2 linked regions of the Sus scrofa genome follow. The protein of the gene in region 2 purifies or fractionates together with the protein of the main gene of each other region. This does not show direct contact. Links are inferred from orthologs where the notes say so. Each region holds a gene or a part of one and is shown on either strand. Other genes may lie near its edges.

Evidence for each region.
Region 1: the proteins of PLEKHO1 (region 2) and CAPZB purify together in Homo sapiens (co-immunoprecipitation; 3 studies listed by BioGRID and IntAct, counting the BioPlex papers as one, with this or other methods). This does not show direct contact. The link is inferred for Sus scrofa from reciprocal best matches to the Homo sapiens genes PLEKHO1 and CAPZB.

The regions. Positions count from the first base shown.
Region 1 is NC_010448.4:77,909,532-77,914,046, forward strand, and holds the start of CAPZB (F-actin-capping protein subunit beta), read right to left. Parts: upstream 3,087-4,515; 5' UTR 2,985-3,086; coding exon 2,982-2,984; intron 1-2,981. UniProt on the Homo sapiens protein: F-actin-capping proteins bind in a Ca(2+)-independent manner to the fast growing ends of actin filaments (barbed end) thereby blocking the exchange of subunits at these ends.
Region 2 is NC_010446.5:98,927,735-98,931,537, forward strand, and holds part of PLEKHO1 (pleckstrin homology domain-containing family O member 1), read right to left. Parts: intron 938-3,803; coding exon 797-937; intron 1-796. UniProt on the Homo sapiens protein: Plays a role in the regulation of the actin cytoskeleton through its interactions with actin capping protein (CP).

The sequences.
Region 1 (4,515 bases), on a different chromosome or scaffold from region 2:
TAGTATACAACCAAAAGTCAGTAAGTGCTGCTCTCTTGCCATCTCACAGTGGTCTTAATTCATTGATCTATTATGCAACCCCACACCACCTCTTCTATCCTACCCCAACTGTCTTCCTTGGTTTATTAGCCAGAATATTCAAGTAAGGGATAAACGGAATAATAAGCTGTTAGAAACTACTTAAAAGCCTAGGGGATACTAAGAACAAGTTATTGAGAGAATGAGTGTGAAATCCAAGAGGCTAAGTTCAAGACACACCCCAAAAGGGAGCACTCCAAGCTGTTTCCCTCAGTGCCAGGTAGTGTTCTGGGCCCGAGGGACACAGACATGGAAAAGACAAGGCAAAAATCCCTGTCCTCAAAGAGCTCACGTTAAATAAGCCTGCATCACCATCCTACTGTTTCCCTATGAAATGACATCTCTATGTAAAGGACCCAGTATACAACCAAAAGTCAGTAAGTGCTGCTCTCTTGCCATCTCTGAGCACCTATCATCATGTTTTCTACAGTGTCCTTCACATCCTCAACACAAAAGCAGCCTGGGACAATGGAAGGGACACAGCTTAGAGCCCGCCAGATGTGCTTCCATCAATGGAGCACATCTTGAGTATGGTACCCCATACCCGGAGCCTCAGCTTCTTCACCTGTAAAATGGGGACAGCAACTATCTCAAGTTTTAGTGGGCATAGGCCTCGTGGCGCAGTGTTAACGATCCGATAGAACATGCGTGCGGTTCGATCCTGCCTGTCAGTTAACATCGGCGTGCCGGAGCTGTGGTAGGGCAGACGGCCGACCGAGTGCTGTGGCTCTGGCTAGCTGCAGCTACACTCCATAGACACAAACTCAAGCCAGAAAAAAAAAAAAAAAAAAAAAAAAAAAAAAACAACACATCAAGAAATGTTTGCCTTTTTCCTCCACCCTTTCCATAGTACTTTCAGACTGTCCAAATCAGACCAAAATACAGGACTCTTGAGAAGCCTCATGTATCATATCCCTCCTGGGCATAAACAGGCATTTTCTCATCCCATTTGGAGACTCAAGCACTCAGAGACGTGGCAAGAGGCTCCTCCCCCACCACCAGCCCTCCTATGATGCCAGAAATGCCGCCTCCAGCAGCCCCACCTGGCCACCCAACCATCCTCTCCTGCTTTTGCCCCGACAGCAAATCTATACTCTGCTTTTCAAGTCCTCACCCAAAACTGTCCTGGAGAAGTCCTTCCCCATCCAGGCCTGGGGCTGGGCCACTTCTCATGTGGCCAATTCTCTGCTGATGCTATCAGAGAAGCCCAATTACAGCGGGCACGTTTTAAATCAACGTACAGGAAAGCATTAAGAAAAAACTCAGGCACTCTGAATTAGTCACCCTAGTTCAGCAGCAACAGCCCTTCCTTAAACAAGGAACTGAGAGCCTCAAAACCCTTTGGGGCCCAAAGTCCACATGTAAACATCTGCCTGCACCCGGCAGGAGCAGGTGGCTGGCCTGAGTCTCAGTCCACTCTCCAAAGGCTCCTTGGCCACGTGAGGGAGAAGCCCTCTGGCCCTTCCAACCTGGGCGCTGGGCCTGCCCTGCAGAAGGTTCCAAAGCGAAGGGAGGGTAGAGGGCTCACGTGTCAGGGTCTAGGTGAAACCTCTGGCCAGTCGGAGCGCCCCCAGAGCACCTGCCCTCATTACCAAAACAAACAGCACAGGCCGAGCGAACTCTCTCCCTCGGAGTCTGGCTCACCTGATCCGTGGCACCTCCATAATCAGCAGTTCCAACCCTCACGAGCTGACAGTTGAGGGGGAAAGGGAGGCTGCGCCTGCTAGGGTGCATCGTGTCCGGGCCGTCTGGTGGCCTCAGAGCCCGGGGGCCCCCAAGGGCGGCAGCCTCACAAGGGCGATTGTGCGTTCATCCCTGTGCCGCCGGCTCCCCCACCCACATCCCTTCGCACCCGCTCACGCCCCATCGCCCTGGACCCTGGTCGTCCGGCCGGACGCTCCGCCAGTACCGCACCCCGCGGCACCGAGGCGGCGGCCAGGGGAAGGGCCCGAAGAGCGCCCCGCTGCCTTCCGGGCACACGGATGCCCGCCCTGCCCTCGCTCGCTCCCAGGAGGCCTCCCAGAAAAGGGGCACCCCTCCAACCTGATACGGCACAGCCCCGGGACCCCCATCCCCACCCGAGCTGGAGAGCCGCTCTCGCTTCCCAGTGGTAGCAAAGAAGGTTCGCCCCAGGTAGAGGCGAGGGGACCACCTGGGTAGGGAGCAGGGCCCAGGAGGGAGGGTAAAGCCCAGGAGAGAGCGGGGCTGACGCAAGCTACGCCAAGAGTGGTGAGAAGTCCGGAGAAGAGAATCGGGGCGGGGGACGGGGGACGGTGTGACGTCCAGGCCGGGGCCAGGGGTGGAAAAGAGGGGTCCAGACTTAAACCACGGCGGGAAGAGAAGATTTAGGCTGAAGTCATGCAGGAGAGAGGAACCAATGTGGGCTGAGGCCACTGGAGGACGGGTTAACGGGGGTCTGGACTGAGGTCACCGAGAAGAGGGGAGGTAGGGGACAGAGGCCTAGCCAGGGCTATGGGAGGAAATAAAGACGGCCTAGCTTGGGCCGTAGGGACGGGGGATGGGGACCTGGCCTGGGCCAAGAGGAGAAAGAAGGACCACGCCTGGGTCCTTGTAGGGGGTGCCTGGCCTGGACCACGGGTCCAGGAGGGTCTACCCTGGGCCATGGGGGAGATTAGCCTACACCCAGCGGTGGAGTATGAGACGCTAGCTTGAGCCAACAGCGGGGGCTAGGAGCAAGAGGCAGAGTCGCTGCACACCTAAGCCGCCCAGGCCGGTGGCCCCTTCTGGAGCGGATGAGGATGGTGTCTACCTGGGCTCCGGGACCTCGCCCCTCCCCCACCCGGTGAACCCACCCTTCCCGGGCCGGGGGTGGGCGGGAGGAGGGGGACGCGAGCTCCAGTGGGGCTCCCAGGCCTGGGGGAAGGGGAGCGTCGGGCCTTTACCATGGTGGCGGCGGCGGCGGCGGTCCCGTCCCGGCGTCTGTGGCTCTCCCCCCCGCAGCAGGGCCCGGCGCTTCCACTTCCCCGGGTGCCCAGGAGTGAACATCCGGGTCAGCGCCCCCCTCCCCCCGCGCCGGGCCGCCGCCACCTTCCTTCCCCGCCCCGGCCCAGCCTGGGCCCGCCCCCCACGCAGCCGGCTCTCGGCCAATGAGCGCGCAGGGCCGCGGCGATCGCCAAGTATGGAGCTCGGCGAGGGGGAGGAGCAGAGAACGGGGAAGTGAGGGGCGGGGCTTGCGAGCGGGGCGGGGCGCAGCGGTCGGCGGGACGGGTGGGCGGGTCCGGGGGTCCTGGGGAGGGTACTCACTGCAGCTCCGGCCCCGAGCGGCCTTCTGCGTGTAGCCAGATCCAACCCGGGTCCTGTGGGTGCAGCTGCGGGTGGTGGCAGAGGGACGGTGCCCGCAGGCCTCCGGGCGAGGATGCGGAAGGCACTGGGGCTGGGAGGGGTCAGTCCCTCCCCGCCCCACCCAGTGCACGCGCTTGCTCCTGCGGCGGACCCGGAACTGGTGCGGCCCGCGGAGCCAGCCCTTCCCTGAGAGAGCGTAGTGAGCGAACCTCAGATGGAATCCCAGCACTGCCGCTTGTTCCGTGTGGGACCTGGAGCAAGTCACTGCACTTGAGCCGGATCTCTAAAAAATCAGCCTCAGGTCACACCAGTCACTGAGCACCGGCCGTACGTATACAGGCCGGTATACCAGGTGACATGTAAAGATGCTCTCACAACTACCTGCTGCAGGAATGATATTAGGACGACACAGTAGAAATTAGAAAACCCGGCCCAATAAATGTTACATGTTGAGGGTATTTTTAGATGTGCTGCAGAGAACCCACCCATTTGCCCAGTAGGGCTACCTCATTCCACGGTGACTCAGAAATTCTTTTTTTTCTCTCTCTCTCCTTCTTCATTCAACAAATATTTATTAGGCCTGGTCTAGAAGGCAGGAGACCTGGGACGCTAGCCCTGCTAATAATAACTGCCTTCCCTAGCTTGCTCTCTCTTTTGTGAGATTTAAATCAGGCCCCTATGAGAGGACTAAGTGTAAAGTGTTGCACGAAGGACAGAAATGAGGACCACAAACCAGGCTGTGACCCAGACCCCCATCCTCAGGTAACTCATAGTGGAGGAACAGCTGCCACTGGCATAAAAGTAGTTCAGCTAAGTCCCACAAGAGTGATACAGACCTGTATTACAGGAATTCAGAGAAAGGGCGTGGCACTTTGGAATTTTCACTTGGTGTAAGTATTTATTGAGCATCTACCCTGTAAGGAGCACTGCTCTGGGCTCTAAGTTTAGAGCAATGAACAGGACAGTCCATGTTGTTGCAGAGCTTGGACCAGGGGAAGGGGAGACAATCAGCTACTAAATAGATACAGTGTCAGGTGGTGATTAGAGATGTGGAGGAAAATCAGAGGGAGGCAGGCAGATGAACAAAGTGGGGCCAGAGGAGGCCTGATTTAGAAAGTAACACTTGATCAGAGG
Region 2 (3,803 bases):
GAGCTTGGAGGTTGTTTTAGAAATGACCAAGGAGGATCTCAGAAGGGTACTGGATATTGATACAGCCCTGGAGATAATCAGAGGAGGTAAAGGACAGATACTAAAATAAAGCTCCGCAAATGTTTTTTTGTTTGTTTTTTTAGGGCCGCACTTGTGGCACATGGAGGTTCCCAGGCTAGGGGTCACATTGGAGCTGTAGCTGCCGGCCTACACCACAGCCATGCCAGATCCTTAACCTGCCGAGCAAGGCCAGGGATCGAAGCTGCATCCTCATGAATACTAGTCAGATTCGTTTCCATTGAGCTATGACGGGAACTCCAAAATCTTTTTTTTTTTTTTTTTTTTTTTTATTTTTCCACTCCAAAATCTTTAAATGTTTGAAGAAACAGAATGTCCCTGGGTTCCCACAGACAAGGGAAATTAGATTAAAAATTTCAACCAGGGTACAGGGAAAAGGGACTGTCACCCAAGAGAGGTGTGTGTGTGTGAGAGAGCGAGAGAGACAGAAAGACAGAGAGAGAGACAGAGAGAAAGAGAGGCAGACAGACAGAGAGAGGGAGAGAGAGAGGATCTTTGTGGAAGGACGGTTTAAAGGCTGGCTTGCCTGGATGGAAGGAAATGGCCACAATATTCTCAGGTTAAATGATAAAAGCCATGGCAGGAGAGCAATCATTCAGCATCTCCGCCAAGAGAGCTGAGAGATCCCAAAGGGGAAGGTGTTCTCCCAAGCCCCCCCAGCCCCCCCACCCCGGGCCCCGTCAATGATCCAGTTGCCAAGGTGGTAGGGGGAACGGACCGTGTTCCCGGGCTGTTTGGAGTGGGCAAGAGTGAACTTGCTATGGTTCTTCTTGCTCCTGCTCTTGGATTTCCGGAGCTCTTCACACTTCTCATAGTCACTCAGGTCAAACACTTCTTGAATATTTTTCTCATCTTTTACCTAGGGGAGGGTTGGAGGTAAGGTGATAAGGATAAAACTTCTTAGTCCCTTCCCCTAAGTTGTTAATTTAGACCAGTTTTGAGAACCCGAAGAAGGCTGAGAAGGGGGTGGGAAAAGGCTGTTCTATCGGAGGCCCACAGAGGCCTGACCCCTCAGGCAGGTTTCCACGGAAACCCCCGGTCCCCACTCCCCTCAGCCAAGCGACCGTGTCTGGAGTTCCAGGAGGTCTCTCTTCACTATGACCCCCACTTTGTCCTTCAAAGGACACAGATACGGGGGCTAATAGTTTAATCCTATCATCCTGAAGTAAGCAAGACCCGGATGGCCCTTGAGTGTCCAGAGGAAGGAGGTAAAGGCAGGGCCGGTATCAGCGATGTCTGGAGGGAATGAAGGGCGGCCTCTGTGCTCCTTGCCATCTAATGTTTACGTTGTTGCTTTCTTATCCCACCTGGCACCTTCCTCTAATATATACTACTGGGAAGAGACTCATCTAGCGCCTTCATTTCAGGAGCTTCAGCACCATAGAAAGAGCAGCCCCTGTGTTGAGTTTGTTGAGTTTGTTGAGACAGAGTGAAAAATACACCTGCAGTTCCTACCCCTCCTTCCTCCTTCCGAAGTGACAACTCAACCTAGCTCCCGGGGCTTGAGAAGCTACTTAAATCATCCACCTCTCTAGGCAAAGATACAGTTATATTCTCCCTGCAGGACTACATTTCAGACTTGGAAAAAAGTGTTCTGCTACCTCTTTCTATGATTTTAGTTTGAGAGCTGAAGCCCCCTTACTGCCAGAAGTCCCTTCTTGTGTCTAAACTGAGTCTTTCCTGCTTGAATTGATCCTGCACCCCATTCTACCCTTAGCAGCTCTATCCAGCATTTGGCTCTTTTAAGTCTCTTGCTGAATGTTTAATTAGAGACTACAATTCTGTCTACATCCTCCAACCCCAACCTGCTTTTTCTGGGCACCACAAAGCAAATTCCACTAAGATTTCTGCCAAGGTCCGCTTTAAACCTCTCAGGGTTTTTTCTCCTCTCCCCTAAGGCGTTCCCATAGCCCTGTCCTCTGAAGCCATGACCTGGCTTGCCAGAGGAGAGAAGCATTTGTCACTGGCCTGGATGGAGCAGTGGGTGATTAGCAAACCCTTTCACCCGCTGCTAGTTGAGCCTGGGACTGGAAGATGCTGGGGAATGAGCTGCTCAGGTTTTCCTGGGATGAGAGATGAAAACCACCAGTTCTTGTCTTGTCAGAACTAAACAAACAGACAAAGGTAGCCTCATATATTCCCTGGAAGACATCTACCCTCCCTGACTGGAGTTATTTCACAGGGGCCCCCACTTCCCAAGCTCTGAAATAGGAATTGTGTGTGTGTGTGGAGGTGACTTCATCTATCTGCCTGGTTCTCATCAGCCTTAAAGTGGGGACGTGGTTCTCTCTTCCATCTCAGCTCACCTCTGCTCTTGTATCTGCCCATCCTTCCAAATTGCTGCTGAACCTAGGGGGTTGACACAGACCCATTCCGGTAAATGGCCGCTCATACACCCACCTCTGTTTGTTTCCACACAGTGTGGCTCCTCCAGGGCTCTCCCCTCTCCCAGGCTCTCTGGCTTTGGGGTAGGAAGTGACCAGAGGCCTTGAAGGATTGTGGGTGGAAGTGGACAAGATGCTGGCAAAGGATGTTCCAGAACAATTCCCAGAAACATGGGGCAGGGATGCAGGGTGATACATCATTCCTCTCCCCCTCCTTCCTCAGGGTTGAGACTATCAGCAGAGGCCAGAAATCTTGGAGAGGAAAGTGTTGGGTGTGTGTACAGAGCCAGGGGAAGAGAGTTACTTATTCTGTTTTCCTTAGGGGAGGGGAGGGAAGGGAAGGGAGGTATTCTGGCTTGCACACGACTGATAAGGAGCTCTGAGGAGCAGGAGACACTGACAGAGCTTAGCCCTTGACAAGGCATGGAAGGAAGGAGAGGGGCCGAGACAAGCAGCGGGACAAGCATATTCTAGTGCACAGGGAAGATGGACAACTCCAAGGACCTGGTTCTTCACTGTATCTTTTTTTTTTTTTTTTTTTTTTTTTTTTGTCTTTTTGCCTTTTCTAGGGCCAATCCTACGGCATATGGAGGTTCCCAGGCTAGGGGTCTAATTAGAGCTGTAGCCACTGGCCTACACCACAGCTACATCGACGCGGGATCCGAGCCGCGTCTGCAACCTACACTATAGCTCACTGAGCAAGGACTCTTAACCCAATGAGCGAGGCCAGGGATTGAACCCACAACCTCATGGTTCCTAGTCGGACTCGTTAACCCCTGAGCCACGACGGGAACTCCCACTGTATTGTTTTTGCCCATCCAATTCCCAGTTTCATTTATAATTACCACCCACCAAAGTCAGTCCTTCTTTTCCCCTGATTCTTTGTCCTTGGCCCACAGAAAGGAATTTTTCCCATGCCTGCCAAAAAAGATGACCTGAACCCCATTTCTTTTACCATAAGGTCTCCCTGAGGTCTGGTTTCTGTTCATATACATCAGTCCTTTGACTGCGAATGAGGAAAATGCTTATTACCAACAAACAGAGAAGGCCTTCTTTGGGGCAGCAGTTATAGGAGACCCTGCCTTTGAGGGGAAATAACACAAGAAGCCGGGTGTAAATTCTGGGGGAGAGGGTGAGGAATTTTGTAGCATTAACATGTAAATTACAAACATTATACTACACTGAAAAAAAAATCTTGAATCCATTGGCTCTGGAGCTTTTGGGAAGTGGACAGAATAAAGCCTATGCTCCTCATTCAGTTCCGCCTTTAACCCACGCCACTGTAGCATGGAAACTGGCTCCAAAAAAGAGCCATTCCAATAGGCTTGTTCCCTCTTTTCC